Linked DNA regions of Arabidopsis thaliana. The protein of the gene in region 3 interacts with the protein of the main gene of each other region in a pairwise test. Each region holds a gene or a part of one and is shown on either strand. Other genes may lie near its edges.

Region 1 (7,630 bases), on a different chromosome or scaffold from region 3:
TTCTTCTTCTTTCCGATGCAATTTTCATGGCCGAATTCACAATTGCTGTGCTCGGCCATGGATTCTGATTGGGATCAGTTTCTGTTTTTATTTTATTTTAAGGTTTGGATGCTTCTGTTGACTACGTTTTGCTAAAATTCAGACCCTTTTCGCTCTCGTGAATCGATTCTACCGCATTTTCTGAACGAAATCTCTAGTCTCTTTTTTCTTTTCTTCCTGGGTTTGATTTCTTGGAGTGGTTGATTGCGCAAGTCTGGATTTTGATTTTGGTACAAGACATTTGCTTGTACAAGGAGGAAGGGATTTGTTGGTATACAGTATTGTTATTGCAAAGGTTTTTCGAATGTCAAAACAAGTTTTTGGATTATTGATTTTGGAAATCTGAGTGGATGGAGAACGATGACATGTATCCTGATGAGCCTGTAGGTTCTGACTTGGAACCTCAAGAGAGTGATGTTGTTTTTGCAAGAGAGTCACCTCTTGTAGGTATCATCACTCAACCGACCAAATGCTCTGGATCTACTGCAAAGATACTGAAATGCAGGGGTCTTGAGCAACAGAAGAAGCTTAATAGACAGGATAGAATCGAATTGGGACGGCTTTTCCAAGGTGCTGTTAGCTCACAGGATTGGCAACTTTCAGAGAGATTTATTCAGCTGGCTGATCCACAAACTTTGAATGATCTGTTGTGTATTAGTTTAGATTCTATTTGGTTCTTGAGCACAGAGCATGAGTTACGGGGAATCACTGAATTGATTGCTAAGATCATATGTCATGGTGCTCAGGACTATACTAGAGCTACACTTAGGACTTCCTTTCTTGCTTCTTGTGTTTCATCTTGCCATAGCCGGACTGTGAGTCTTGCTGATACTGTAACTGTTATGGCTCAAAGGTACACATTTGATACTTTCTCTTATAAGATGTTTCCCCTTTTTCTCAGTATAATTATGGTAAAACACTTTTGGATTATTGGAGAAGTTGGTTTCTGTTATGATACCTTGTTTTTGCTTTATATGATCACTACATTGTGTCTTACATGTTACATTGGTTGGTTACATCTGCAAGTGTTTTAGTGTTGTTAACTTTTCTTAGAAATCGCTTTTTGTTAAATCTATAGTATCTCTTATGTTCTTATTCCTCCTGGTTTATCTTTGGTTAGCTGGGAAGGGTGAGATACCCTTTCTATATAAATCCATTTTTTCCCATCTCGGCGTTTCCAGGTTGCACGAGCGTCTCCAAGAGTGTAACGGTGATGAGGTCCTCAAAGCAGAAGCTGGTGCTAAAGTTCAAAAGTTTACTGAATGGGCACTCAAATGTATAGGTTTTCACTCCCGATGCCAGGGCCCTAGAGATAAAGCTAACCAAGACTCAGCTGCTGAGATCCAACTCCAGCTTTCTGCTTTCAAGATGTTCTTAGATCTTGCAGGAAACCATCTATCAGGAAAGGATTTCACAGAAGCCTTTGATGCAGCTTGCTTCCCGCTTACGCTGTTCTCTACCTCGTTTAATCCTGGCTGGGCTTCTGGAATTTCAGCTACTGTCATACATGGATTGCTCGGTATGCTGGTGGAAGGAGGCGCAGATAATGTAAATCAGTGCTTCCTTGAAGCTTCTCGTTTTGGGAGCACAGAACTTGTGCGCATCTTGTTGCAGGTAAATCTAATTCTTAATGACTGCTTGCAAGTTACTTTGTGCAATCTAACTGAACTTTTTCCTGGTGCAGATTGCTCAAAGGAATAGCTTAGACGTGGATGTTGACTTAGCCCTTGGTTTTGCCTCGCATTATAGTAAAATCGAAACGATGGATTGCCTTGTAGAAGAAGGTCATGCAATTGCTTTCTTGGGTCCCTTGATGAGAGCAGCGGAGAGAGGTTGCATGCAAGTTGTTCAATGGTTTGTGAAACGAGGCTGTCGTGAAATGGAGCTATGCTTAGCTCTCACAGCCGCCACTTCAAGCAGCCAGGTTGAGGTTGCTGCTTATCTCCTTCCTCATGTTCCAAGACCCGTCCTTACTGCTCTCAGCATTGAAATCCTCAAAGCAGCCGGTGAAAGAAGTGGTGGTTCCCTCCACGGAGTAGAGTTTCTCCTTAAATCAGATTTCCTCGGGGATCCAGCAGCCACATATTCAGTTGCAGACACCATTGCAAAGTCAGAAGACGAGTCTGTTCCTTCCGACCTCAAATCGTTTCTCCAAGAACAGTGGTCAGAAGCTGCATTCAACCAAGGATTGAAGGAAAGCCGGGAAAATTACATGAATTTCATGAGAGTTTTGAAACTCGGAGAGTCTGCAATAAGTCTAAAGGATCTCCCAGCACCATTGAGAGTGGCAATCGCCTACATGCCACTGTACAGAGAGTGTGTGGATGCGGGTGGCCGGCTGCTCTCACAAAAGCTAAGAGGACAGCTCGTGGAAGCTGCAACACAGCTTGAAGGCTTCGATGTAGACACAGAAGAAGTAAAGAAAGGTCATCATCAGCTCATGACCATCTTGGAGCATCACCTTCCTCTTTTTTTGGTCAAAGCTTCTTTACACTGAGCAACAATGGATTCAGCATCTGAGTTAACACAACTCGTTTTAAATAGTTGATAAAATAAGAACTGAAAAACAACCATTCCACTATAGTTATGGATTCTGATCCAGGTTGTGAGATGATGAAAAAGGGTTCTTGTAGACTTGTACAAACTTGCTATGAGAATGTCTTTGTCAAAAGTCTCTCTATCTGTCTTTTATGCATCCTAAACCATGGGAGAGATAATCAAAGCCTTTTATATTATTTCATCTACATATTATTTCACTTCTTCTGTCTCAGACTCTTATTGGTCTCCTCTCCTGTAATGAAAGCCTTTCAATTTCTTACATTTTGTACCAATCTCTCATCCTGGTTTTGCTTCAGACCATGAGAAAAATGAAATCATGAAACTATTAATCATTCTTTATTTATATAAATAGTTGTATAATTCTGCATCAAGAAAACAAGTTTTACAAATGAAATATTAATCTCTTACCCTGAAACCTTATGTAATGACAATAGACAAAACCTCCCTTTGTTTAAGGATTTCTTTCTTCAATTAAAGAAACGTTTATTACATAAAAGTGGAAGAAGAAGAAACATGTTTGGAATTAGAAGAAGGCATGAAAGCAAGAACCATAAGCAAAACCATAATCCCAATAGGAATCAAAAGCAGCATAAAAGGAGGAGGAGGCAATGGTGGAAGAATCAACGGTAAGATCAAGAGAGATGCTGTGAGACCAACAAGCACAACCATTGATTCTAAACTGAAGTAACTCGCTGATATTAGCCTCCTTGGACTGTTCTGCGACGACAATGTCCGAAACAATTCTTGCTTCCCCATAATCGGAGCTGGAGCTGAACCACGAAAACTCGTGTTTTTCCGGTTATGATCTCCTCTCACGTCCATGTTGTTGTTGAGAGAATAATGTTCTTGAATGTTTATGATGTCGTTTTGTAGACTGGAGAACTCACGAATCATTTAAAGAAGGCTTTTTCTCTTTTCGAAGTTTGATCTGGAAAATCAGATCGATGTATGAAGAAGAAACTTGAGTTTGTTTATCCAAACGCATAAAAAGTAACGAACTTTTCTTCTTCTTCTTCTTCTGTAAATGTAGTTTGGTTGAAGAACCCTGACGATGAAATGATTATCCCGAAATGCAGACAAAATCTAAGGTTTAGAACGAGTGATCTTGGCGTTTCCAGACCTAAAAGGACTAATCTTTTTTTTTTGCCGGTAGAGAGAAAAGATTCAATTGGTGTTTCAAGAAAGCTGCAAGAGAAAATTTGTCCAAGTTTTGATCAGTAAATCGTTGTGATTCAATCAAAAACATGAGCAGAGAATGAATCAAAAGAATCGAAAGTAAGTACCTTTAAACCGTTAGAGCCAAACACACCTTCAGCGAGAAGAAGATGAAGATTGAACGTTGGAAACCAAAAACAGGGTGTTAAAGCTTAAATACAGAGGAAGACGAAGAAAGTTTCTTTTGGTAAGAAAACCAGAGAAGAAGAAATAAAGTGGGAGTGGTTTTGATAAAAGGAATTGGTATAAAAATAGATGGTAAAAGATAATGAGAGAAATAAATATAATGTTTTTGGGGTTAAGACTGTGGAATCAGAGAAGAAACAGGAAACAGAGGAAGGTTCACTGAATTTACAGATTTTTCTAAAATGATAAGATTTTAATTTTAATGTTTTTTTTCTCTTTTGGGGGTGACAAGTGTGAGAGGCAAGTTGCTGCTTATTCTGGAAGGTCTGAACAAAATTGAAATCTCTCTATTTGATTACTTTACACTTCTCTCTCTCTTTCCACAATCACAGTGGTTCTTCTCCCCTAGACACTTTCTCTGATGATGACGTGGGATGGAATTTATTTGGGGTAAGCCTCTGTTTGAGATGGAGGTTTCAGTTTCTTTTGGAATATTCAATGGTGGTTTTTAATTAAAACGAATCCAAACTTTTATAACGTTGATCGTGTATTATTGTAGACTATAGTCAAAGTTGTTTGGTTGAAATAAATAAAGCAGTATCAGTCATTAATAATACTAGAAACAAATAATTAAAGATAAGATAAATATTTTAGGTTATCACAAATAATCTTTGTTCTATATGATAATGTTTTGTTTGTTTTATATAATCATTTAGAGTTGTAATCTATTGAAACTATGGACGGGGAAACGTACTAATTAAAGATTCGAATTCCTCGCGCACAAAAAATTGAATATGAGAAGTGATAGCAATAATCAATAGATTGAATTCGGTGAATTACCAAATTAGTTTGACAAATATATTCAACATTTATCACTTTTTTTTTGTCATAGAACTGTATAATATGTATATGTATATGTGTGTGAATTAATTAAATTTTCCAACCTAATAATAATGTTGTCTATGTGTTATCGACCGATGATGACCCATATTGTTATTCCTCTCGGCATTTCATGTGGTGGCTATATCATATTATCGTTTTTAGTGGGACAGTTGGTCCAATATTTATTTCTCTTTCGTTTTATGCTTTTAATAGTCAGAAGAAATGCCAACTTAAATTTATATAATTAGGGAATTTTGTATTTTACATGATACATAAAGGATACATAAGTGGTCTTATTATTATTATTATTATTTATTTTAAAAAGGGCTAGGTGTTGTTTAGTATGATTTAAACAAAAAAGTGATATAGTATTAAATATCGTACTATATTAAAAATGCTATTTGTTAAAAATACAAGACAGCTTATTATTTTTAAAAACACATAAAATAATATATTAAGATTTTTTTTTTTTCATTCATTATCTTTCAGGTAAACCGATATAATTTATTTGTTTAACAGCCTAAAAATGTAATAATTAAAATATCTAATGGATATATTCATAAGTACTTTTCGTTGGGTGTTTAATTAAGAGGGACATGATAATTTTCGCAAGCAGTTTAGTTTCAGCCGTTCTGGTATTAACCAATTGACAGCTTACCAAAATCCACTACTCATTTTTTATTTTTTTTTCAATCCAAAATACTTATTTATCCAAATTCAATGAATCGCATGTATAACATCTATTGATTACGTCTTTTCTACTTTTTTTTACAAAGGAGAAATGGTTTTATTCGTCAACTACTAGCTAAACTCCCAATGGAAATGACATTACTATTCTACAATTATAATGGCTCAAGTAGACATAATTACAACAAAACTTCACCTCCCGCTTTAAACAAAAACAAAACTTAATTAACGTCAATAAAAAGATGATGCAGACTTTTAAATTGTTAGAACAAAGTTTAACAACTATATATAACTGATCAGTTATATAAATAGCATATACACCATAGTGATATCTTCCCGATCTTAAAAGATATTCAAATTATCTTGTGGATATGTACTTGATTCGATATCTTTGATTTTTTGTATTCATGATCTTATGGTTAGGATCGATGCCACCAGTTCCTATGTAAACAAATAGATAATATGTAGGTAAATAACATTGCTTATACCAATCTAAATGTCAGTTAAGAATATATTGATACATATGTTTATAATGCCTTACAGATTTATAGAAAACCCATATTTGATTATAGTGATATATATAAGAACGTATACAGAGAGCGCAATCTCTTATCCAAATCAGAAAAAGATTTCAATTCGTAGCCAAAACCAAGAAAGATATAAGATATAGGTGAACTATAGGAGGGTGTTTTTTTTACTCGTAATTCCTTGGATTCTATTGGTTAATCCATCATCCATAGTGTGTGTATATTTAATTTTTAGAAAATTAGAAAGAAAAAAATTGTAGAAAGGGAAAGCTATATAGAAATGGCAACCCATGCATGATTGCCTTGAACATCGCAAACCCTCCCTTAGATTGCATGTCTAGTGGAACATAGTGGACCTGCAACAATATTCAACAAAAAATTCATATTATATACATTGCATAATGCATAGTAGGACATAATAAGATGAATTATTATGCTCAATAACAAGTTTATATGATATGCCCACAGTTTCATCACATATACTTGAGTTTATTAAAACGAATGATTCTATTTCTCTATTAAGATTAGCCTTTATTAATTGTTAGTGGTATGAGATATATTGAAGAAAATAAGTATAAGCAAAAAAAATGTTGATAGAAGAATTAAATAAGCAATAATTTCAAAAGGTATGTAATGTGGATGAAACGGCACATGTCGTTGTCACGTGGCTCGTTCCCATCGATTCAATGCATATCTCGACCAACTTGACTTATTAATATTCCTCGTACAACTCTCCAATCTAAAGCCACCTTTCTTCTACGTTATACATTTTCTTTTTCTGTTTTCTTTTAAATACTTTCTCCTCACAAATTATTGTTTTCTATTATCTAAAATCAATACCGTTAGGAAATGGTGTCTTTATAACACTTTAGAAAAATATAATTAATCATTTTCTAATGTATTATTTTTGTAATTGAGTAATTTGATTTAAAAATATAAACTAATATAATAATATTGGTATTTAATCATTTCAAATATTCTTAATTATATTCTTTTTGAATACACGCATATTGTTCTAAACTATTAATTTCTTACAAAAATTCTATATTATTTATTGTGTCTACAAACAAAAGAGTCGTCTAATCATTTTTGGTTTCATTTTTTTTTTGCTAGAAATCAAAAACAAATTCCTCATTTTTTTTGAGGTAAGCTAATGTTATTTTCTAATAACAATCATAAGTAATACCCGTGGTTTAAAGTTTACACGGTATTAATTAGGTACTACAGCCATGGTGGACGGTGGATCTTCATCACCTAATCCGTACAATTAAGAGACAATTAATTACATTAAATCATGTGCATTAGTTGATTTAGGAACTAATTGATAAATCAACTCTAAAGACTAAAGTAGTGCGATAGATAAAGCTAAAGTATATATTTTCTTCAGTATAAAGATAGGAATATATGGGGACATATACTTTTGTCGATTTTGTATCCAGCTTTGCATCAGTGAAGTCTGAGCGAAGATATGACCAGACTTAAAAAGCAACTAAAAAGATGCATAACAGAAACACAAAAATAAAATTCATGCATCTGCTAGTCATAGAGGTTATTGGATTCATTGCACGTATCTTAATGATTCGTTTTCGTTTCAC
Region 2 (8,374 bases), about 12 Mb from region 3:
GTACATGATTAAATTGAGTTGACACAATTATATGATTAACTAATGTTTCGACAGAATATTAGATTCTTCAAATTAGAGAACACTCACAAGAATATAGTGCTATTTTTTTAATCTGCGTAATCATATCTTTTCAATAACTTTTCTTTGGTATACCAACAAAACCATAGTTAAGTATATAATCTATAAAAAACTATTATTTTAATTAGGATTTAATTTTTGTTTCATAACTAATATGATAAGTAAACTTTTACAAATAACGTGAAAACTTATGATTGAGTTTAAAATTTTGCATTTGATATCTCATTACATTTCATCTAACATTACTAACAATAAGTTGATATAAAGCAACACATATATAGACCAAGCATTTAATACACTTATATTGTTGACTCTGAAACTTTGAATGTACTTTCTTAGGTCTTTAGCTAGTTGATTGGTCAAGTATCGTGTCGAAGTCCATTGCAATATCCTTACTTCTTTCATCAGTGCATTGTTGTTGGCCGCAAAATCTATAAAAACTGAACTATATATATCGGATTAGTTCATCAAGTAGCTTGTAAGTGCTTTAAGTAAGTTTTGGCTAACAGAAAAAGATATAGATGAACTAAGTAGTCCATTGCAATATCCTTGCTTCTCAGTTACATAAAATTTAGAGGTCAATTTAATAAATAGTGAGTAAGAAGAAGAGAAGGGTAACTAAATAAAGGGAGGCCCCCTCGTGTGGAATGTGAGCAGTCCACTCCAATTATATAACTTGTGCTCTGTCTTAATTTGTGGGACATCTGCCACTGTTCTGCTTCTTCTTCACTTTCTCTCTCTCTCTCTCTCTCAACTACTTTTGTCTTCTCTCTCTCTTCCTCTCTCCCCCACACATATGTTATCTATTTTGGGGGCAGTGAAATTAACTTCTTCTTTCTTTTGGCTCCAACCCTTTTCTTCTTTCTTGATCTATATATTTTTCACCATTTATTACACTTTTTCACATCTTAGATTCTTTTTTCATCAAAACGGAATCTTTTTCATTCTAGGTGATTCATAGAATGAGAAAACCTGAGAAATAGGTCTATAGTTTCTATATATAACACCTAGCTAGCTATATTAAGGTTTGAATAAGAATTGAAGGCTTATTAATGTTATAGTACTATATATCACCCGAAATAATGATGGTTCATGAAAATTTCGGAGATGCTTCTGTCACAAATCTGTATATGGAGATGTGGCCAAATAAAGACCACAGTGGAATTTTTTTTTTTTTTATCCTATCGGATTGATAGTAAAATTTGTAGGTTTTAAAAAAAAAAAAAATCAACGTTTCACTTTGCAAACTGTGATCTTTTAATACTACAATAATTTTGTGTATGTTCTTGGTATGGAATTAAAGATTGATTCTCAGTTGGTTGGTACGAAAATATTAAATAGTTCCTGAAAAATTTGTTTGCACTTTGTTGAAATTGAATGAAAAATTAAAAAGATTCTTCCACTGTTTTCAAAATTTGTCCTCATTTCCTCATTTTTTTTTTGTAATTATGCTTCAGAGGATAAGTTCAGTACTTCAATAATTGGTACCCAATTTGTCATATAAGATTTTAGTAGTACGAAGTTATTCTGAGAGGAGGCAGTACCACCATTTTTATTGAATATTAGTGAATATCAAATAATATTTATAACTCAATGTAATAATATAAATCCCTTTGTGCATTACCAATGTAAACTATGGTATTCAGAAACATATATAAACATTATGATGTACAGTGGGTATTATGGATCGCAGCTGGGCATTCTATTTTTATCTAACTTATAAATGTGGTGCCAAATTATGCCCAAAAAATGAGGATGTGGTACTAATAAATTAATTATTGCACTGACAAAATTTATGAACTATAGCATTAAATCATTGTATTAAATCTCTCCTGGCACCACTAATAAAGATATCTAAAGAAAAAGAAGGGGAATATATTATATTTAATAATTGGAAATTAACAACACATCAAATTCATAAGGTATCTCTTGATTAATTTTTATTTTATTTTACAATGAATTAATTTTTATTTTATTTTACAACGAATTCGTTAATTTTCAGTATGAAATCATAATACATCACAATAATTTGTTAATGCATATGCTGATATGCATATGAAAAGGTTCTAAACAACAGGAGAAAGTGTTATATTTGATTTATTGTTTGTTTATATTTGTAACAACTTTCATTGTTTTTCAGTGTATGATTTTTGTCGACAAAAAAAAAAGTGTATGATCTTATACAATGTACATTCTCAAATTTCACTATGATAGAATGAAATGGAAAAAAAATATCTATAGTGAAGTTTACATAACATATTTTATCGTCAACTTTAAAACTTTATTTTTTATATAATAAGAATAATAAACTAGAAACCATACCCATCGAAATGCAGAATTATATGGATAAAATAATTTATGATGAGAATAAAAATAAAATGTAGGAATAATTTATGAGATGATGCAATACAATGGTCCTTGGGACTTGATATCTCTCACTCACTCTCTCTCTCATCTCTGAACAAAACAGCACTCTATAGTCTATAGGGAATCCAAAACATTCATTCAGACCTGTCTGAATCTTTGAGACACAAGTTTTTGTTTCCCACAGGGTTGCCACTTTTTTCCAAATTACCATATTACTCTCTTTCCTTTTTTTATCACCCATTTTTTTCTATTTATTAGTAAGATTTTTTCCTTCAAATAATAATAAGTCTCTACAATTCAACAGTGAATTCTTCTCTCCATATTATCTTATTAACTTACAAAAACATTTCAAAAATTATTTTGAATTAATTCTCTGTCGCTCCAGCTATATGGTCCCAACATCTTTTGTCTCAGATTGGGTGTAATTAAATGTTTAGTTGTGAGCAAAAAAAAAATCATGTGATTATTTTTTTGCATTCATGTGAGTTTATTCAAGTATTTAGCATATGTAGTAGTTTATAAAAAAAAAACTCATAGATACTCCATATAAACGGCCAATCATAAGGGCATCGGAAAAAATAAGGAGATAAAAAAAAAGAAATTTTTAAGTACAAAAAAAGAAGAAAATGTTAAATTTCTCAAAGAAAGGCAAAACTTTCTCCTTCTATGGAAAAGAGATGGGAATAATTATGATGATTATAATTTTGTTTTGTTTTGTCTTAATTAATATTAATAAAGCACCGTGATGCGAATCAACGGCTCAGCCTCATCGCACTCACCGTCTATAGTACTCGCCACCACCGCCTTAATAATATCATTCTCTACAGTCTCAGCGCACGTTAGCGTCTGCGCCTTCTTAGCCTCCGATTCCCAATCTGTGGTCCCCACCACGTACATCATAAGACCTGCGCAGCTAATCTGCGCCGCAAGTAGTCCTACCCAAAGCCCATTAAACCCAATTCCGGCCCAAAACCCGAGACCCACTGCCACCGGCATGCCCACCAGATAAAACGCTCCAAGGTTCACGTTCGCCGCCGTTGACGGTCGTGCTGTTCCTCTCACGACGCCGCATCCCACCGTCTGAGGACAGTTTCCGATCTCGCATAGACCTAATATCGGTAACGCCGCCGCTGTTAGCTGGAGTATCTCTTTGTCTCCGGTGAAAATCCTTCCCCAAGCGTTTCTGACTGAGTAAGCAAACGCCGCCGCTATAATCCCTGTAACCGCCGCGAAAACGATAGCCACCGTAGCCGTTAGCTTTGCTGTCTTGGGACGGTTGGCTCCAAGTTCGTTTCCGACTCTAGTTGAGACAGCAAAGCTAAGAGAAGACGGGAAAACATAAAGAAACGACGTCGTCTGGATCAAAACGCCCATAGCAGCCACCGTCGATCTTGGATTCACGAGCAAACCACACAAAACGATCATGATCTCGTACCACCACCATTCCAAACACACGGAGACACAGCTTGGTCCCGCGAGACGCAGCAACGGAGCCCACCCGCGGAAACAATCACGGGTCGGGTCAGTCCATGTAGGCGCGTGAAGACCACTCGCCCAGACGTAGCAAACGAGGAAAGCAACGACGAAGATGTTTGTGATGGAGGAAGCGACTGCTACGCCGGTTAAACCAAGACGGAGGTAAGAGACTAAGAAAAGATTAGCCGGGAGGTGAAAAACAGCGCCGGAGAGAGAAGCTAGGGTTACGGGGTGAATGATGCCTTGAGCACGAAGGTAGATTCTGATTGGATGAAGAAGAGTGTTGGTGAGAAGATCAGGTAGGGAGAAGATGAGATATGTCTGAGCTAATTTCGCGATGTCGGGGTCTTGGTGAAGGTAAACCGATATTTTGCCGACGTTAAACCAGAGAACCGAGATCGGTACGCAACAAACCAAGAGAAAAACCACGGTTCGATGGAGGGTTAGGGAAAGGAGTTTGAAGCGGTGAGCACCGAAGGCTTGAGAACAGAGTGGTTCCATACCAAGAGCTAAACCGGATAAAACAGAGTAACCGGTTATGTTAGCAAAGGCAATGGCGAGTGAACCGGCGGCTAATTCGAGGTCACCAAGTTGACCCAAGAAAAACATTGATACGGCTGAGCGTAGGTAGAGGACAAGAGCCGTCACGGCGATCGGAAAAGCTAACGTGAAGAGAGATTTCGCCTCTGTTACAGCTTCTGCCATAAGAGGAGATCCTCTGTTCTCACAATGCCGGAGATTTCTCTTTGTGGGTTCAAAGCTATTGATCGAGAAGAGATCGAGGAAGAGTCCGGTTCGAGATTCTTGGTTCTCTGAACCGGTGGTTGTTGTTGTTGTTGATGGGTTACACATGACGGTGATGATGATGATGGTGTTGATGAAGAAGAAGAAAGATTTGATCTTTAATGGGAAAGAGAAAGAGTTCTCTCGTGAAGAGCTCTCTAATGAGTATGAGAGGTTTTAACAACTGAGAAAATTGAAAGGAAAGAGAGATATGAATTTTTTTTGGTGCTGCTTCTCTCTTCTCAGAGCTCTCTCTTACCATCTTAATAAAGGAGTTGGCAGGATTTTTTTTTTCTTCATTTTTAATTTTTCGAAATTTTTTCATGAAAAAGAATCTAAGCTACTTTTTTTTTGTATATTTAAAATACTTTTAGAAGTCACTTTATATGGATAAATACATTAATAGTAAATTGACAATGTATCAACTTTTTTGATACATGAATGATTTGTGACATAAGTTGGAAAAAAATCAACTAAAATCAAATACTTACCCAAATGTAATTTACTGGTGGACCATACACAAAGATGCTGTATCCGATACGTATTAGCAAACTATAAGAATATACGTATCAAATCCGAAATTTTAGAAAACCTACTAGCTAGGTCAAGGGAAAAAAATTAAGAATATATGACAAAACTTTTTAATCTTATGAAAAAAGTGGTTGAAAGATATGAGGTTAAATTTTATTTTTGGTCAATTAGACAAAACATTGTAGAGCATCCAATGGTTTGTACTAATATTGCTGTTGTATCACAATCTATATTCAAGATTTGTGAGTGTAGGTATATATGGCTTATTAACCCACATATATGTATAACAAGTTCTTAATATATTGCATAGATCTTGGTCAAATCCAAGCTAGTTAAGTTTAGTTCAATACTACTATACTAGTGTTTATGGTCTTGAATACTTTGTAAAATCAGTAAAGGATAAGCAAAAATAATCTAGGTATACTAAAATAAAATTATGAATTAAGATAGACAAGGCCAATATTACAGTACATCTTTTATCTAAAGACAGTTCAATGTAACGTCTAAATAATTTAAAGTAAGTAGATTTTGATTAGCATATATAGTACAAGTTCATTGCACGTGAACTCTCGAATCCTTTTTAAACGACCATTTGGCACAAAAAATGTGTTTGCATTTACTTAACTTTGAATTTCTTTTTAATTTGTCTTCTTCTTATTTTTAATGTGTTTGTTTAAAATTCACGAAAATGTCCTTGTAAAATTCTTTTTGTTTTAAACTATTTTGTGCTGAATTTCTTATACAAATAGAATTTTATCTCTGTTAAATACACTATTTTTGAAATAGTTATATAGTTAAATATAGTATTTGGTAAATTATATTGAATTTTAGAATAAATCAAACATATATTATTATTTTGCGAAAATATTAAAATGATATATTTTTTCGACCAAAGTAAAGTCCAAGGCCATAACCTACCACATGAAGTTATGAATCAAACCATGCTTAGCGTCGCTACCATTGTTTACTTACTAAACCAAAACCGAACGAAGAGTCGAACTAGATATCTTATCAAAACTTGAATGCAAATCGGTGATTTATAATTAAAGACCCAACACTAAAATTAATGTTTCGCTTGACTCTTTAATCAAAGCTTGAAAACTATGGTTTACAATTAATTTAGCCGTTATTTCATGTTTTGTCTCCATCCGGTGAACAAATTAGACTTAAACAGCAACTTAAGTCCCGGATACATCTTCGTAATGGTTTGCATATTAAGAAATGTTTGTAATTCACAATGGAGTTTAAATCTCCAGCTATTAATGGCTTTTCTTTGACTAAATAACCTTCCAACCAATATTAAATGAAAACATATAGCAAGTTTCTTATAGATGAATTAATTATAAATAATATATAGATTTGTAGTAATGTTGACGATTGCATAATGTTATTTTTTTTTATAAATACAGTTGGGGGTTGCTATTACATAAATTAATATGATAATTTATGAAGAGATAAATGGTAATTATATAAATATTAAACCGGGTTGTAAAAGTATATAAGCATAGACAGTACTATATATATCTACATATATACCTATCGTTTTGTAAACTATTTATACAATCATTTGTGGGTTATAATTTTTTTTTTTTTTGTTAAATGGGTTATAGAAATTTTCCGTCGATAAGATTTGAAACAAAGAGATAAAATAAGTAAGGCTCCTGTGAGCGTTCACGGCATAGAGGGGGCCTCGCCCTACTAAGCCTCTGATTTTTAAAATATTCTCCATTCTTTCATTTTGAAACGTTCCAATAATCATTTCGAAAATAATTCATATATCTTCACATATAGTTTTCCCTCTAATAAATGTTGTGCGTTTAAGATAAATTAATTTTACATTAAATACAAATCGTTTTAAAGATAATATGTCACTTGTATTATAATTAAACCATATAATTAGTAATCACATTGATAGAATTAGAAATATATAGTGTATTGGTGTGGTTTCGAAAAGGTACGATCACGCAGCAGTTAAACTTGACAATGCAATAGTACCAAAACGGCTATAAAATCTAGGATTACATCCGACTAAAACACATATATTTAAGAAAAATCTCAACAAATATAAAATATTTTGAATGAGAAGTTTGGTAACTTTCAACGAGGGGCCTATACGTAATGCATCATTATTGGCCATGCATTATCGTATATACTTTTTGGTAGGGGACAATTTATTTATATGAAAGAAGATAACATTCCACCAATTTCTTGATCAAGAATTAATGTTGAAAGTGTGACATAGTACAACTGGTTGTGTATATTGTTTCCCCATTTTTCATAATCATTATGATGCAGACAATAATCAATATCAATTAATATCGCAGCAGCAGCAACTGCAACAATAACAACAGCAACACCAATAATAATAAGCAAAATTCTAAAAATTGATAGAAACTTGTTTTAATCGGGTATGATGTGAAAGTAATAATACAATTTTTTGTCCGTGGAATGGACCCGATGATTTAACTGGATATTCATTTATACTTTATTCATTTAAAATAAAATTGTTTCGATCCAAAAAACATAGAAATGTGTATATATAAAGGGTAGATAATCAATGAAAAGTGGGGGGATAGAGAAATATTATCTTCAAAATATTTTGCATGGATATGAAAACGGTGACGTAGCGAGAGGATGGTCACGGAACAAACGCCAAAATAGACTTTCGATCGAGAAAGGGTTAAATTCACAGCTGGAATCTAAAATCTATTATTTTTCTTCTTTAAAAAACACAATATATAATATATACAAAAATAAATTAAATGAGAATGAAATACAGAAATTGACACAAAATATAGATCTATTTATGATTTACTTCTTTGAAGACAGGTCCCAAATAAGAGCAGTGGCTGAGAAAATACAGAAGTGAAACTATTTTGGCTTCCCTCCCAAGAACAGAAGGCTAAAAGGAGACATGTGCCCTCTCTCTCATGCAATTTTCTTTTACATTTATCCTTTCAAAATTTGTCTAGATTTTTCTTTCCAAATGATTTGTATATCCATAATTTCTTTTATATGTGTCATGAGATAAGACTGGCTGGCTTCTTAGACTATTGTGCTTAAATCTATGGACCGACTTCTCATAAATCAAACATTCATATCTTCAACAGCAGTGTTTTCGGATTTCCGTCTACTGTTT
Region 3 (7,537 bases):
CAGAGATTTGAAGGCAAGCAATATCCTTTTAGACGCGGAGATGAACCCTAAAGTTGCAGACTTTGGGATGGCGAGGTTGTTTAACATGGATGAGACTCGAGGAGAGACAAGCAGAGTAGTTGGAACCTAGTAAGTCTGCTCTATTTCACACATAAATGCTCTGCTTTAGACATGGATACTAATGTGATTTTTGTTCATGCAGCGGATATATGGCTCCGGAGTACGTGAGACATGGACAATTCTCAGCTAAATCTGATGTTTATAGCTTCGGTGTTATGCTTTTGGAGATGATAAGTGGTGAAAAAAATAAGAACTTTGAAACAGAAGGACTTCCTGCTTTTGTAAGCTTCTTGAATCTTGATCACATTTTATTTATCTTCTCACTTTTAGGCTTTGATTGGTAACACGCATAATGGCATAATGACGTTTTCTAATGCGGTTAAGCAGGAAATTTGTCAATCAAGAAAATTTGCATAATTGTATTAGAAAACGCAAAAACCCAAGATTTGCATTTTTGCATAAAATTACAAGTAAATAATTCATAATGCAAAAAAGTGGGTATATATTTACTTATTTTGCACAATAATTTGTTATTATTTTAAACATACTAAAGAAAAAAATATAATTGTTTACACGAAATTTATATCACTTGACTTATAAAGAATGTTTTCTTTTGATATAAGGCATGGAAGAGATGGATAGAAGGAGAGCTTGAGAGTATAATCGATCCTTACTTAAACGAGAATCCAAGAAACGAGATCATAAAGTTGATTCAGATTGGTTTGTTGTGTGTTCAAGAGAATGCAGCAAAGAGACCAACCATGAACTCTGTAATAACTTGGCTTGCAAGAGACGGTACTTTTACAATACCTAAACCTACAGAAGCTGCTTTCGTCACTCTGCCTCTCTCGGTGAAACCTGAAAATAGGTCCATGAGTGAGCGTAAAGACAAAGATCCGTTTTCAGTGGATGAGGTCTCGATTACAGTCTTGTATCCTCGGTGAATATTCCATTATTTTCTGACCTCATCTGCATTGGTGCTAGAGAAACTAGAGTACGATACAAGAAACATGTAACTTGGGGTGGGTATTCGGATAATTCGGTTTATTTTGGTTACTTTATGGACACATTGTCACCGAATTATACCCGAATTTAGTTGAGTAAATAATTATTTTAAATTCTTTAAATTTCATCTTTAGTATAAATTCTTTTTGAGAATACATATTAAAAGGAAAAGCCTAAAAACCGCGGTTTATTTTTTATTTGGCCGTTTAATACCTGTAATTTTAAAATTGGAATAAAAATAGCTAAATTATTTTTTGTTGTCTTTTAAATCCATGGTCTTTTAAATTTTGGTAATTTCGAATTTGCGACTTAACATCTGTTATTGGGCGTTACGGAAATCGTTAACGGCGTTAACAAAATTAAGTGAAATTAGAAAAGCAAAAAAAAGTGGTCTAAAAAACCACGATTTATATTTTACCGTTAACCGGTAACGACTTCCGTAGAACCCAATAACAGATGTTAAGTCGCAGGTTCGAAATTACCAAAATTTAAAAGATTATGGATAGAGTAAGATACAAAAAATATGTAATTTGGGGTGGATATTCGGATAATTAGGTTTATTTTGGTTACTTTGGTATGGAAACATTGTCACCGAATTATACCCGAATTTAGTTGAGTAAATAATTATTTTAAATTCTTTAATTTCATCTTTAGTAAACTTTCTTTAGTGAAATATAAACTCTTTTTGAGGATATGTTATATTAAAAAATATTTGGTTTAATAAATTAAATTAAAAATTCGATTGAGTCCGTTTTTTTAGTGAACTTTCTTTACCCTAATCGGTTTAATTTTAGATTGGGTCAAATTCGTTGAATAATTTCATTTCTGTTTTGAATCGGTCGTATCATTTCGGTTCATTAAAATGCTCAAGATCAGGACAAAGATTCATGTTTCATTCAAACTCTAGTTTAAAATTTCGATCAAAAGACAAATTTCTTTGTAAAAGTAAATCAAATTTGCTAATATAATATGTCGGTAACAAAGAATGAATGAACAAATTCATCTATACAAAAAAAAGAAAAGAATGAAGAATGTTCTCTCTAAGAAAAACTAGAAAAGCTTGCTAGCGAATTCTTTGGCCTTAACCTGAGAGAGATTCGATCTTTTCGCGAGATCTCTCAGTTCTGATAAGCTTCTCCCTAGCTTCACCGCAACTCTTGTCTCAAACACTTGTCCGTTCTCTCTCTTCTCCGTCGATTTCATAGTTTCTTCTAATAGAGAGAAGAATCCAGCTGAGTTTCTATACATCTCAAACACCATTCCCACTTGACCACCATGCTCTAAAGTGTTGACAACCGCAGCCAAAGAAGCACAAGTCATCGCCACGATTCCAGCTAAACCGGAATCTTGACCGATAAAGACAGAGCTTACAGCAGAAACTCCGGTTAAAACTGGTCCAGAGATAGCCAAGAACCGGTTTAGCTTCAACGCCACGTGACCTAATTTCTCATACTCTTCTGCGTCTCTGCTCTTCACCACATGAGCAACTTCTCTCATCTCCGCCTCAAGCTCTTGACTCCATCCATTCGCAAGACTAGTTTTAGGGTTTTTCTCCTTGTTTTCAGGCCACCAAGTCGCCGGTTTAAACTCTTCCGGAAACTTCTCGAGCATTGTTCCGATCAGAGGAAGAGGATAAGCTTTATCTAGAGACAACACTCTCTTTATCACTTCCTTAACATCTTCTTCTTCGATCTCCTCGTTTTCTCTCAGAAACATTTCGATTTCGACTCTCAGCTTCTTGAACAGCCTCGTCGCGTTCCTCTGTTCTTCAGCTAGCTGCGAAGGTTGAATCTTGCTCATCAAGGCAGCAAAACCCGTCGCAGATGTTAACAACACCGTTGAAGCTATCTTCACAGCGGTTACAGAATCTACACCGTGACCGTTAACCGAGGCTATTCCGGCCATCAAAGCGGCAGTGAGAGTAATCATGTTGACAGAATTGAGCAGTAAAGAGTTCCAATTGTTACGTTGATCTCCGATGTTCTTGTGCATCTCAATCCTATCCATAACTTCTTCAAGAACCGCATTGAGACGAGTTCTTTGGATAGAATCAGAACCTCTCTTTTGTTTCAACGAAAGAGGAAGACTTTCTACAAACTCAAAGCTCGGTTCTTTAACCGATAAAGTCGGTATTTTCGGAACCGAGACGTGAAATTTCGGTAGCTTCGGGATTGAAACTGCTGCTTTAGGTCTTGTACTAGAAGAAGATGACGAAAGAACTAATCTTGATACCTGCAATGAAGCCATTATTGATAGGTTTTTTGGTTATGTTGGTTTCTTAATATCTCTCAGGAGATTTGTGATTGTGTTTGATGAATGAAGAGAGAAATGTTATGTGTGGTGTTATATATAGGTTTAAGATGATAGGCATAAAACAAAACAAGAAAATTTAAGGAATTGAATTGACCAAAGAGAGAATTATTGACCAAAGACCAATTAGGCTTTGATAGATTCTCCTGTGACGGTTTTTGGTCTAACCGTAAAGCTAGCCTCCCAATTTTACCCGCCATCCTCGTAGAACGAGTCTTAATTACATCTAAACCGGCTCGGTTTATATTGGTTTGATTAAACCGGTTCGGTTTTGTTTTGTAGGTAGGAATTTGGTCAAATTGCTTAAGACACAAATGACAAAACACTAGAGAGAGTATCGAAGAGAAGAATCCAAAAAAATGGGATCTTCACCACCGAAGAAGACGACTCTGCAACGGTACTTGTCACAGCTTCAACAACATCCTTTAAGAACAAAGGTTGAAACTTTTCTTCTCCTATTGTTGATTTGAAGCGATTGATGTAGTTTTCTGGGGTGGTTTCGTTTTCTTGAGATTAGGTTTAGTTTCATTGATTGAGAGACGATGACGTTGTTTTTCGATTGAAAGTTTTGTTTTTTAACCTAACCCAATTTCATAATCTGATTATCTGAGAGTATCGTTGACTCTGTTTTACAAGTAGTTGGAATTCATGTGATTTGTAGGCAATAACTGCTGGAGTTTTGTCTGGTGTTAGCGATGTTGTATCACAGAAGCTCTCTGGCATACAGAAGATTCAGCTGAGAAGGGTTCTTCTCAAAGTGGTAAAGCTTGAATCTTTCTCTTGTAGAGTCCTAAGTTCAAGCCAGTCCTAGCTTCTTTGATATGTTTTACCATTTGAGTTCTGTGTTGATTTCTCCAACAGATATTTGCTGGTGGGTTTCTTGGACCAGCAGGGCATTTCTTTCATACATATTTAGATAAGTTTTTTAAAGGGAAGAAGGATACACAGACTGTTGCAAAGAAGGTAACAATGTTCGATACCTTTCGATGATTTGTATGTTCGAGATTGATCCGGGGGTTTTCTTAAACAGTGTGTTTGAGTGGTAGGTAATTCTGGAGCAATTGACATTGTCACCATTGAACCATTTGCTTTTCATGATCTATTATGGAGTAGTCATAGAAAGTAAGTTCCTCCCTTTTTCACACTCCATTTGTAAAACACGAACCGTCGTGGATGGTATTAAGAGTTCTGCAATGTTGAGTGAAACAGGAACTCCCTGGACCCTTGTTAGAGAAAGGATCAAGAAGACTTATCCAACGGTCCAGCTTACTGCATGGACGGTAAGTGATAGATATCATCAATATAGTTCATGCTCTTTTAAGAGAATTTGAATCATAACAAGAATTGCTGGATGATTGATTCTATATATCAATCACAGTTTTTCCCGGTGGTGGGATGGATTAACTACAAGTATGTGCCACTGCACTTCCGGGTCATCTTGCACAGCCTGGTCGCATTCTTTTGGTAAGACAATGAATCATTTGCTGCAGCTAGTTCTTGTTGTTGTTACTCAACTGAAACTTGTTTGTAATCTCCACATTCTTCTTCTTTTGTTTTTTCAGGGGAATTTTCCTAACCCTGCGAGCGAGGTCAATGACACTAGCTTTGGCAAAGGCTAAGTGATTAGGAAACACATGGATCGTGACAGAGAACTCAAGCCTTGGGACTCATTATGATCACTTAGTACTCTGTAAGTTAAAGCAAATCAAACAGCTCTGAAACCAAATAAAAATCTGTATTAAGATGATACCATTCTAGGATAGCAATATGTTTTAAGTTATTACAAACACATTCACAAACATCATATAAAAAACGAGGGTATTAAAGAAGAGATATTGTTTAAGCAGCTTTGGCGAATCCAACTCTTCCTTTCCCATAATCGAACACTGTGTGGTATGGTCCCATGAAGATATCACCCAAGATCCTGCATTTTCACACGATGTACAAAATTTTGAGCAAAACCCATTTGAGTTTGTTGGTTAGTAGATTGTATTTGTAGATGATAGTTACCAGAGAGGTCCACGAGGCGGAGCAATATCCATTGCCGTGAAACCGCTGGTGCACTGAGACTCAACTCCTTCCCCGATCTTGAATATATACTGATCGACCAAAAGAAGAAGAAGGAAAAGGTTTTAATTACTCTCCTTGTAAGCTGAAAACTTAAGGAAAAGCTGATGAGAGTAGTTACGTCTTGAGGAGTTAGATCAAAGCTTCTGCCACCAATTGAGAATGTGACTATAGGCATCGACGAAACCCTCCCACAGTCCACTGCTGATTGTTGGTTTTGGGTTGGTATATGGTCACATAGCTATACATGTTTTACAGAGATTAGAGTCTTAACATGCTTATGTCCAAAATAAGGCTTTCAAGACACTCTCGAAACTCACCTCAGCAGCATAAGCGAGTATGCGTTCTTGTGTTTGATTCTGAGTCAATTCGCTCTCCATCCACACGGCTGCCATTTCGCAAGCACTGCACATCGCTTGGTTTAAAAGACCCGATGTTCCATCGTCTACAACTGACTGGATCCCCATACTGCAGACAGACATGAATCAGTTTTATGTTTGACATATTTGTTTTGACTGGATAGTGTCAGTACTGACCTCACACTCTGTGTACCATCATAAGCGCAGACTCCAATTTGTGAGCATACTTTCTTCGGATCCTCCTGCAAGTCAAGTGATGTAAAATTCAAGATTGTATTGCTTATAAAAATGTGAATGGTGTCATGACCAGTGATTTAAACCTGAGCTAGAAGAGAATTCAACATGGTTTTTCCGTATTGATCCACCACGGCCTTGCATTCACGGCTTACAATTCCTTGTGCTCCTATCGCGTGATTGATCATCGTGATGACAGTCTAAACAAGCAAATATAAATATTCAGCATGTTTCAGGTGCTAAGTAGTGTACAATCTACAAAAGTTTCAGTGAAATGATTCTCACCGATGGACCGGTGAGCAGAGAAGTTCCGGAATCAGCAATAGCAGAACAACCTTTAGCACAATATCCTGAATAACATAGAAGTCAGATGTCATATCATAGGTAAAAGGACTCATTTATGTTGAAACTGAAACATCTCAAAAGCTTACTTACCGGTTGGTTTGCCAGCAATTTGGAGATCACCCATGTCAAACTGCCAGTAACCTTTATGTGTCACAGGAACAAAAGTATGCTCTCCTTTGAAGTGCTTCGGGTCGACTCCACCGAAAACAATCTCACCGCCTTCTGGATCTTTCGGGTTACGGTTAAGCCAGAACGAAAAAATCGGTTCCTTAACTAAACCTTTTTCTACCATGTTATACCTACACACATCATATAAATTTCATCATTCAGAATTGCAACAACAATTCTTTCATCAGATTATAGATCAAAAACGTTTTCATACCAAACCGGAGTTGAGTTTCCTACAGAAATCTCTTTGAAACCCAAACCGAGGATACCATCAAACTTTGCTAGCAAGAATGTTATACCAGGCTCACTAGTAGCCTCTATGAATTCCTGTGGTGATATATAGATGTAGCAGTTAGATATTAACTCACATGAATATTCTGAAATATGTAAGCGGATGAATCGTTTTACCTGCTCTTTCACAACAATATCACCAACTTTAACATCATCATTGCTAAAGTAACCAGAAATAGCACCCGTCCCATAGCGGATAGACGCGGGTTTTCCTATAATGACAATGAGTTTTATCGTCAAAACCTATCAGCAAACATATCAAAAGACCGGCGCTAAATGTATCCCTTTCTTGAATAGTTATCAAGAAACATCAAAGTACCGAAGCTCGAGTATCAAATAACAAGATGAACAGAGAGAACGAACCGTTCTTTCTATATGACGATGACTGGCTAGCCTTGTACTTGGAGTGGAAATAACAAGCAACCTGAAAAAACATTAAACATAGATATTTTGTTTTGTTCTTTTGGGAGTAAGAATACAATAGGATTTTCAGAATTATTATGCATTAAGAACAAACTAACGCGTACCGATAGGTAACATTTAGTAGATGGTATCCAGAGATTGGAGCTACCAGTATCAAAGATCACAGTGAACTTCTGAGGAGGAGTACCAATGGTAATGTCACCATAGTATTGAGCATCCAAATAGTTTTTCAGCGGAACCATATCCGCATTTTCATCGTTCAGGCGAAAATAGTG
Region 4 (7,712 bases), on a different chromosome or scaffold from region 3:
AGTGCTATAAATCCTCAAATCTAGTGGACTACTACTTATATAAAGTTTGAATACTAATAACTAAAAAAACATTATCTTCTTGGTTTGCTTATTGACTCTGTGTTATATTAATTCATACTAATATATTTCATCATTTAATTTGTATATTTACTTCGTGAGAAAATGAGAACACATTCGCTAAGTGTGCTTACTCCGCAAAGTAAATAGTGAGACGTGGTCGGTTTCGTTTCCATAAATTTTGGACCAACTAATTTGACCTTATTAAACTTATTATTACGTCTCTAATCTTTCTCTTATCTCTTTAACCGTTACCGACATTTTTTGGGGATCTTCGTTCTTCATTTCCCGACTTCAATTATACAATTATTTCTTATGATTTTTACTCTCTTTTGCACAAAAACACACAAAATATAATATTCTTTCATGGAAGGAAAAACTTTAACATAAAAAAACTTTTGAATACCCATTGGCTATGTTACTAATACACATTCCGAGATTAATTTTAGTCCAAATGCAATTAGTTCTGCTAGTTTGAAAAGTGACTATTTTTGACTCGAACAATATGAGATACATTTCTAACATCTAGTATATGATGGTTTAAATAAAATAAAATAGTCTACATATCGAAACGTATGATGTATGCAATTTGATGGGCACAGAATCAATGTACATAGAACCACATTACACGTCATGGTCTACGATTCTTGGCTTTCCATCGACGCGTAGGAGCCAACTTCAAATGCAATTTATTGCAAACTAATTAACTGTATTATCAAAAGTCAAAACTCTCTTTTTAATCATTTCTTTCGCCCATCTTCACGTTTCCACAACTTCAAATTACAATTATATAATTGGTCACTTACTTTTTGATTTTATAAAACCAGATAAAGAAAGTAGAAACTTCAATTACATTTGTCTATGGTTTCATTTTGGCACTAGGACATACAAAATTATATCTTTGTAACAAAAAAAAAAAATACATAGGACATAACATCAAATACCAAATTTAGAATGTATAACCAATCAGAGTGACTAAAGTGGTTGGTAAAATGTAATCAATCTTTCCCTTGAAGACCTTTACTAAGCATCGATCGTGTATGAGAGCTAAATTTGCAGCCACTTTTTTCCATTACTTGGAACAACTCACAAAACCCCTCTACAAAGCCCTGTTTAAGCACACCATCAATGAGGATTTTCCAAGCGATTTCATCATCGCAATATCCACATCGAAGCAGTTTTTCGAAAACCGAGTTGACTCTCTCTTTTTCTCCTTCTTCACACAGCTTGCAAATCAACATTTTGCAAAACTCTAGTTGTGGTGAATGACCATTACATATCATATCTTCCACAACTTTTGCAGCTTCCTCATACTTTTGCAGCTTGTAGTAACATCTAAGAAGACCATTACAAATCTTCTCACTTAACGATATTCCTCATACTGTACGCTGGTTTGGAACCAATCCACTTTCTTCCATCAAACTAAGCAATCTATATGCACTATCTAAATTACCAGAGCTACACTGTCCAGCGATCAATGTATTATAAGTTATCAAGTCTGGAACCAAATTCTGCTCTAGCATCTTACTAAGCAGTCCCATTGCTTTGTGCACATTCTTCTTACAAAAACCTTTGATCAATGCATTGTATGTAATAACATTTGGCATCAACCCATTCTCCAACATATGTTCTAGCAATCCACTTGCTTCATCAAGTGTATCTCCACTACAAAAACTCTGAATAAGCACAGTATACATACAATCATCAGGCTTAATGCCACTCTCTGACATCTGCTTAAACAAATTCATAGCTTCTGACTTCTGTCCTGATCCACACAAAGCATCTATAAGCACTGTGTATGTTCGAACATTAGGACAACAATTGTCATCTTTCATTTTCACCAATAAGCTCAAAGCTTCATCGATCTTCTTTGCTTCAAATAGACCATATATAAGCTGAGTGTAAGAAACCTCATTTCTATGGCAACCGTTCTGAGTCATCTCCTTAAAAACCTTAAAAGCCGCATCGACTTCTTTTCTTCGACAATGTCCGGTAATAAAAGAAGTATATGTGAAATAATCAGGATCACATCCAGCTTGAATAAGCCAAGTCACATACTGCTTTGCTTCTACTACATATCCAAGCTTACAATACCCATTAACCAATGTGTTAAACGTGTATATGTCTGGAGAAACCAAATCCTCCAACATTTCAGTATAAAGTCTCTTCATTTCTTCGACTAATCCAAATCTAGCTAATGAACTCAACAGATTATTGTAGCATTTAGGAGTAAGTTTATATTTAATCTCGAAGCTATCACCTTTACGCATTGTCCTACAGAAATCAACAACAAACAAAGCGTCTCGCACTGAATTGCAGCTCTTTATCATTAAGATCGTGATCTTAGGCACCTCATAAGGTATTTCCTGGCTGCAGAGAAGAGTAACCAAAGACGCGTATGAAGTAACGTTGTGCTTGAAGTTTGGTATCCGAGAGATCCAATCCGAGAAACTGAGAGCTGTCTGAGGATCAAGATTGAGTGAAAACAGAGAAGAGACATGAGAAGGTGTATAGAAGGGGTAAGAGATTTTAGAGATGGATTGTTCTGCCAATTTGGTTCGGAGACAATTGAGAGTAATCGGCATGGAAGATTAGAGGGGTTAGACTCTGCTGTTGAGATAGTACTTGTAACTTTGTAAGCAGAGATGCGGCGGTGGATAATGGCCTTCGACGGAGAAGGTAGCCGGAAGAAGTAGAAGGAGATTTGGAAGTAGTAATCTCATCGTCGGTTGATTCGACGGTAAGTTGTACTTCCAGTTCAAGCAACAGTAGGGTTTAGGGTTTATGAATCAGTGAATGCAAGCAAAACCTCAAACCCGGTACAATGCTACGTTTGGTATTCTGCATTGGTTTATTAATTAAACCCAAACTCAAGTGGCATGTACAATACTACGTCAGTTGTTTGTATAAAACGACAGCGTTTGAAACCGCGACTGGTCCGTCAGGGTATATATGTAATATATACGATAAACATGTATTTTATGGTCAATGCGAATTCCCAATTTTCCCATTTCTTAAAATCTCTTCTCGATCTCCTTTGTTTCCGATTTGCCGGTCTTCGAAGTGGAACTGTGGCAGTGACGAGCGTGAGGAGAAGATCTGATCTTTAGGGCTTTCAAGGTAACTCATCACATTCTTCTATCTGTTGATTTCTCGTTTTCCGACCAGTGGATCAATCGATCAGTTTTGTACGAATTCGTGTCTGATTATCTGTTACGGTCTTAATTTGATTGTTTAGTTTGGATTTAGAAGCATGGCAGGAGCTGTTGGAACATCAATGTTAGGGTCTCTTATTGTGTTTACAGTGATCCTCTCGCTTCAGGAAATTTACAGAGGAAAATTAGCTTCTTCAGAGCTGTTCACGATCCTTGGTGGATTCACAAGCTCTCTCCTCTTTTTGTTTTCTCTCACTGTAAGTTCCTTAGAATTCCTCAACTTGATCTCGTCTTCATGGAAATGCACTACCTTTACAACTCCAATGTTGATCTGTGTCGTTAAATTTGAGATCTTTTGTTTTCTTCTCGAATTCATCTACATTTGTTGTTGACAGTTTGGTTGATGCGGTTTCTTTTACTTTCAGTTCATTGGAAATTTTCAGGAATCTTCTGGCATCAAGAGTGGTTGGGGTGCAGGTATGTCCTTGCTTCTTCATGAAATCAAATTTGTTCATACGATCAAAACCATTGGGTGTCTACTCTACCCCATTTTGTCTTCCACTTCAGAAGTTTGAGGGCTTAAGAGTGGAATTTTTGAATCTTTGATGATGATGCTCTAAGTTTACTTTCTGATAACATATTACGAAAACTCTTACTTTTATGTGTTACAAATACTCTTTTAGTGAATCAGTTGTTGGAACCAAATTTTTTTCATTCTTATGTCTTTTTCTGTATCACCTATATAAGAATCACAGTGATAAATGGCTCGAATTTGTTTGCCCCCTCCTGCTTCTGCTGTGTGAAAGTGGGTATACTCATTACTCAACAAGGGTTTGCAATGTATTGAAGCCAATTTTTGTTTCCATGGCAGTCATTCTTGCAGAAATCATAGCTCTTATCGCTGCTGGCACGGTTCATCGGGTTTGTATCACAACCTGGTAAGTGGAAATTCACTAGTTCTACTTGGTATATCCATTTACCCTGTTTAATTACTTCATTCCTCTCTTGCTAAAAGCGGTGTGGTGATTGTGATGCTGTTTCTTGATCTGCCTGCAGTTTCCTGTTCTCTGCTGGGCTATTGTACGAGGTGAACAAGATCTCTGGATACATGCTATCCAAAACCGAGTCAAAGTCTAAGAGACACTGAACCTGATAATGGAATTGATACGGCTTATTATTCTGGACTTAGATTTGTTTGGCACTTGAAGATGCAAAAACACTTTCAACATCATGAATTGTGATACTTAGAAACCCTAAATTCAAAATCCACATCTTATGCTTGATGTGAGTATTAGGTCTGTTTCCTTTGCAGCTTATAATCATAGAGATAATCATTTTAGTTGTGTCTTATGTTCTTGGAGAAACTGAATTGTGTCTTTTGGCCTCGACATCGTATCATCCGCAACCAGACACATCAAATGGTTTGTATCATCTATATTTTAATATCTCATGTATCGAAACCGCAACAATTGCTGATTCCAATTTAAATTACAACTTTACCAAGGTAAATGGAGCCTGAGCCAAATGCTTAGGATCAGCTGTTGTTAGCGTACTAATCTGTGGTTCACAGGAAATCTAAGAAAGTCAATCACACAACGGCTCATTGACCAAAACGTTCATCTTCTCATTAAGGAACTTGAGCACATCTTCTCTCTCTTCTTTGATAAGCAGCTGTCTTAATCTACCAAACGTTACACCCGATGGTCGAATCCCCATCTCGATCATCTCCTCTAACAAAACACAAGCTTTCTGAGTGGTACGCTCCTCGCACAACCCATTAATAAGAACCGAGAATGTATGCATACTAGGGAACACCCCTTTCTTCCTCATGTATTTCCACACTTTATCCGCTGTCTCCATCTCTTTCTTTTCACAAAACATCTTGATCACCATCGTGTAAGTGTCTGCATCTGGTTCACACACTTTAATCATCTTCCTAAAGACATCAAAAGCTTCGTCTTTCTCCCCTCGTTCTATTAGATGGCGTAGAATGATGTTACATGACTTGGAGTTAGGCGTCACACCTTTACTCTTCATTTCTTTCAAAACCCTATACACATTCTTCATCCTATTTGCTTTGCAAAATGCACCGATCAATGAATTGAAAACTGCTACATCGGCTTTCATTCCACTTCTTTCCATCTCGAGGAAAGTATCAACCGCCTCTTCAAGCCGGTTCTCAGTTCCATAAGTATGTACAAGCACACTATAGATAAAAGTGGTCGGCTTGCAAATGCTTGGATCCATGCTCCTCACAATGCCAAGAGCTTCATCAACTCTTCCAGCTTTACAAAGTATGTCAACCATTATACTATACGTCACTATATCCGGATGACAACCCGCATCAATCATTTCCCGGAAGACCTCTCTTGCCTTGGGCAAGTTGGGTTCTTTCCCCCATCCCTCAAGCAATATGCTATACGTTTTGGAGTCAGGCGTAAAGCGATCCCTCATATTTTCGAAAACTTCCTGTGCTTTCCTCACATTCTTGGATTTACACAACGCACTCAACAACCCGTTGAACGCCACAAGATTCGGCGGCAAATCATACTTCTCCATCACATTAAACGCGTAAATCGCCTCATCCACTTTCTGCGCCCTCGCATACTTCCTCATCACGATACAAAAAGTCTCTACATTTAGCATCTTCTTCTTCCTCATTGCATTGATAAGATCCCACATGAGCTTGTACTGCCTTATCTTCGCCGTAGACTCAATCATCATGTGGTACGCACGAACACTATGCTCGTAATGCCGTTGCTTCTCAGACCATTGGAAGAACCTGTATGTCAACAAACCAGCATTCCTGAATCTATTTAAAACATCTTCTACAACTTCTTGTGAAACCCTTAACCCACTTTGATCTAAAGCCGAGTCAAGCACCAATTGCGGAGAAGACATCAATACTTTAGATATGTTCTTCGCCACATCCGCAACATCTCTCACTTGTTCGCTTGAACTATACAGCCTCGCAGACAGAAAACTCTTACAGCAGAATCTGGATTGACGATTGATAATTCTGATCGTCATGTTGAATCTAACCCAGACCGTAGCAGAAGAACTACATTCCCATCGCATAAAAGAAAAAAAATTAACCAGCTGACGAAAATCAACTGATCTAATCCTAAAACGCTTCATTGAGGCATTTCGTCAAACAGTTGATGAACATTATATTATTGTGCACATAAACAAATACACAAATCTACTTGATCAGAAAAGATTATGTATTTACCTGTATGAATCAAGTGGTGTCTGTTTTCAGGAACTGTGGTTTTTGTCACCGGAGAATAATCCACGCGGCGACGGCGTCGAATGACGAAGACTGAAGAGCGACTAGTATACGCCAACGTTTTGAAAGTGAGATAAATTTGCCACGTGTCATTTTTGTCAATGTCACGTGTTCTTTTACTAAGAGCCATAAATTGGAACCTAATTAATGGTCCAAATCCAACAATAAATCACCTAACCAAAAAAATAAAAGATTTTTACATTCGACGAGACCGTGATCGAAACGGCGATGGTTGACCAGAGTCCTCGCCGTGTTGTCGTGGCGGCGCTCCTATTGTTTGTGGTTCTGTGCGATCTTTCGAATTCTGCGGGAGCTGCGAATTCTGTGTCAGCTTTCGTTCAGAACGCCATCTTGTCCAACAAGATTGTCATCTTCTCCAAATCCTACTGCCCGTAATTAAATTTCACTCTTTCTCCTAATTTGAAATTTGCAATTTAGGCAACTTTCCAAGTTTTGGTTCATATCTAGCTTTCCTTATTCATTGGCACGATGGCGGAATTCGAAATTCCAAGACTTTGTGTTGAAAGTTGTGAATTTTGTTTTGGATGTGTTAGGTATTGTTTGCGGTCGAAACGTATATTCAGCCAACTTAAGGAAGAGCCATTTGTTGTGGAGCTTGATCAGAGAGGTATCACTTTCTTTCTCACCCAACTGTTTATGAGAATTGAACTGTTTCTTAAAACTTCTGAGAGATTTGTTTTTGCAGAGGACGGAGATCAAATCCAGTATGAGCTTTTAGAATTCGTTGGTCGTCGTACTGTCCCGCAAGTTTTTGTTAACGGCAAGCATATTGGTGGATCAGATGGTATGATGAGCTCACTATCTCCTCCAAGTTTCATTCTTTTGTCCAAATTTCCCTTGTAACTCACAAGCCTTGGCTGTTTATCTTGTTGCTTCAGATCTTGGAGCTGCTTTGGAGAGTGGTCAGTTGCAAAAGCTTCTTGCTGCAAGTTGATATTTGAGGACCTCGAATGTGGAATCTACAGTATGTGATTTACAGGAATTAGAAATCTTTGCTAGTTGTAGACTGAATAAGCGAATTGATATGTATGACTCAGTTATGTAAGTTATGATGGCATTGATAAAGTCTTGATCTTTTGTTACTGCACTGCTCTGGTGATTGTTTCGCTTAAATAATCCATACTTGTGTGCCTTAGTGAATGGTTCATACGGCAAATATCAGATCATGGAAAGAAGAGCAAGTACAAGAA

What was found.
Region 1: the proteins of AT4G04480 (region 3) and ARL interact in a protein complementation assay, tested with the Arabidopsis thaliana proteins (one large-scale study listed by BioGRID).
Region 2: the proteins of AT4G04480 (region 3) and ADS1 interact in a protein complementation assay, tested with the Arabidopsis thaliana proteins (one large-scale study listed by BioGRID).
Region 4: the proteins of AT4G04480 (region 3) and AT1G77350 interact in a protein complementation assay, tested with the Arabidopsis thaliana proteins (one large-scale study listed by BioGRID).

Annotation. Positions count from the first base shown.
Region 1 is NC_003071.7:18,233,588-18,241,217, reverse strand, and holds ARL (ARGOS-like protein), read right to left. Parts: upstream 4,430-7,630; 5' UTR 3,882-4,429; intron 3,784-3,881; 5' UTR 3,493-3,783; coding exon 3,085-3,492; 3' UTR 3,045-3,084; downstream 1-3,044. Other genes in the region: AT2G44090 (Ankyrin repeat family protein), read left to right, coding at 390-892, 1,221-1,653, 1,724-2,536. UniProt on the Arabidopsis thaliana protein: Promotes cell expansion-dependent organ growth, probably via a brassinosteroids signaling pathway. Acts downstream of BRI1.
Region 2 is NC_003075.7:14,365,547-14,373,920, reverse strand, and holds ADS1 (MATE efflux family protein), read right to left. Parts: upstream 5,045-8,374; 5' UTR 4,774-5,044; coding exon 3,175-4,773; 3' UTR 2,726-3,174; downstream 1-2,725.
Region 3 is NC_003075.7:2,225,424-2,232,960, reverse strand, and holds AT4G04480 (F-box protein with a domain protein), read right to left. Parts: upstream 3,313-7,537; coding exon 2,116-3,312; 3' UTR 2,110-2,115; downstream 1-2,109. Other genes in the region: CRK36 (cysteine-rich RLK (RECEPTOR-like protein kinase) 36), read left to right, coding at 1-129, 203-341, 684-1,004; PMP22 (Peroxisomal membrane 22 kDa (Mpv17/PMP22) family protein), read left to right, coding at 3,735-3,812, 4,037-4,135, 4,237-4,338, 4,422-4,497, 4,585-4,655, 4,754-4,839, 4,938-4,998; AT4G04460 (Saposin-like aspartyl protease family protein), read right to left, coding at 5,215-5,299, 5,386-5,474, 5,564-5,683, 5,763-5,910, 5,979-6,043, 6,122-6,235, 6,321-6,385, 6,471-6,679 and 4 more.
Region 4 is NC_003070.9:29,067,187-29,074,898, forward strand, and holds AT1G77350 (keratinocyte-associated-like protein), read left to right. Parts: upstream 1-3,038; 5' UTR 3,039-3,177; intron 3,178-3,295; 5' UTR 3,296-3,310; coding exon 3,311-3,469; intron 3,470-3,637; coding exon 3,638-3,689; intron 3,690-4,083; coding exon 4,084-4,150; intron 4,151-4,268; coding exon 4,269-4,359; 3' UTR 4,360-4,713; downstream 4,714-7,712. Other genes in the region: AT1G77340 (Pentatricopeptide repeat (PPR) superfamily protein), read right to left, coding at 1,434-2,642; APPR6 (Tetratricopeptide repeat (TPR)-like superfamily protein), read right to left, coding at 4,797-6,350; AT1G77370 (Glutaredoxin family protein), read left to right, coding at 6,730-6,893, 7,056-7,306, 7,401-7,456.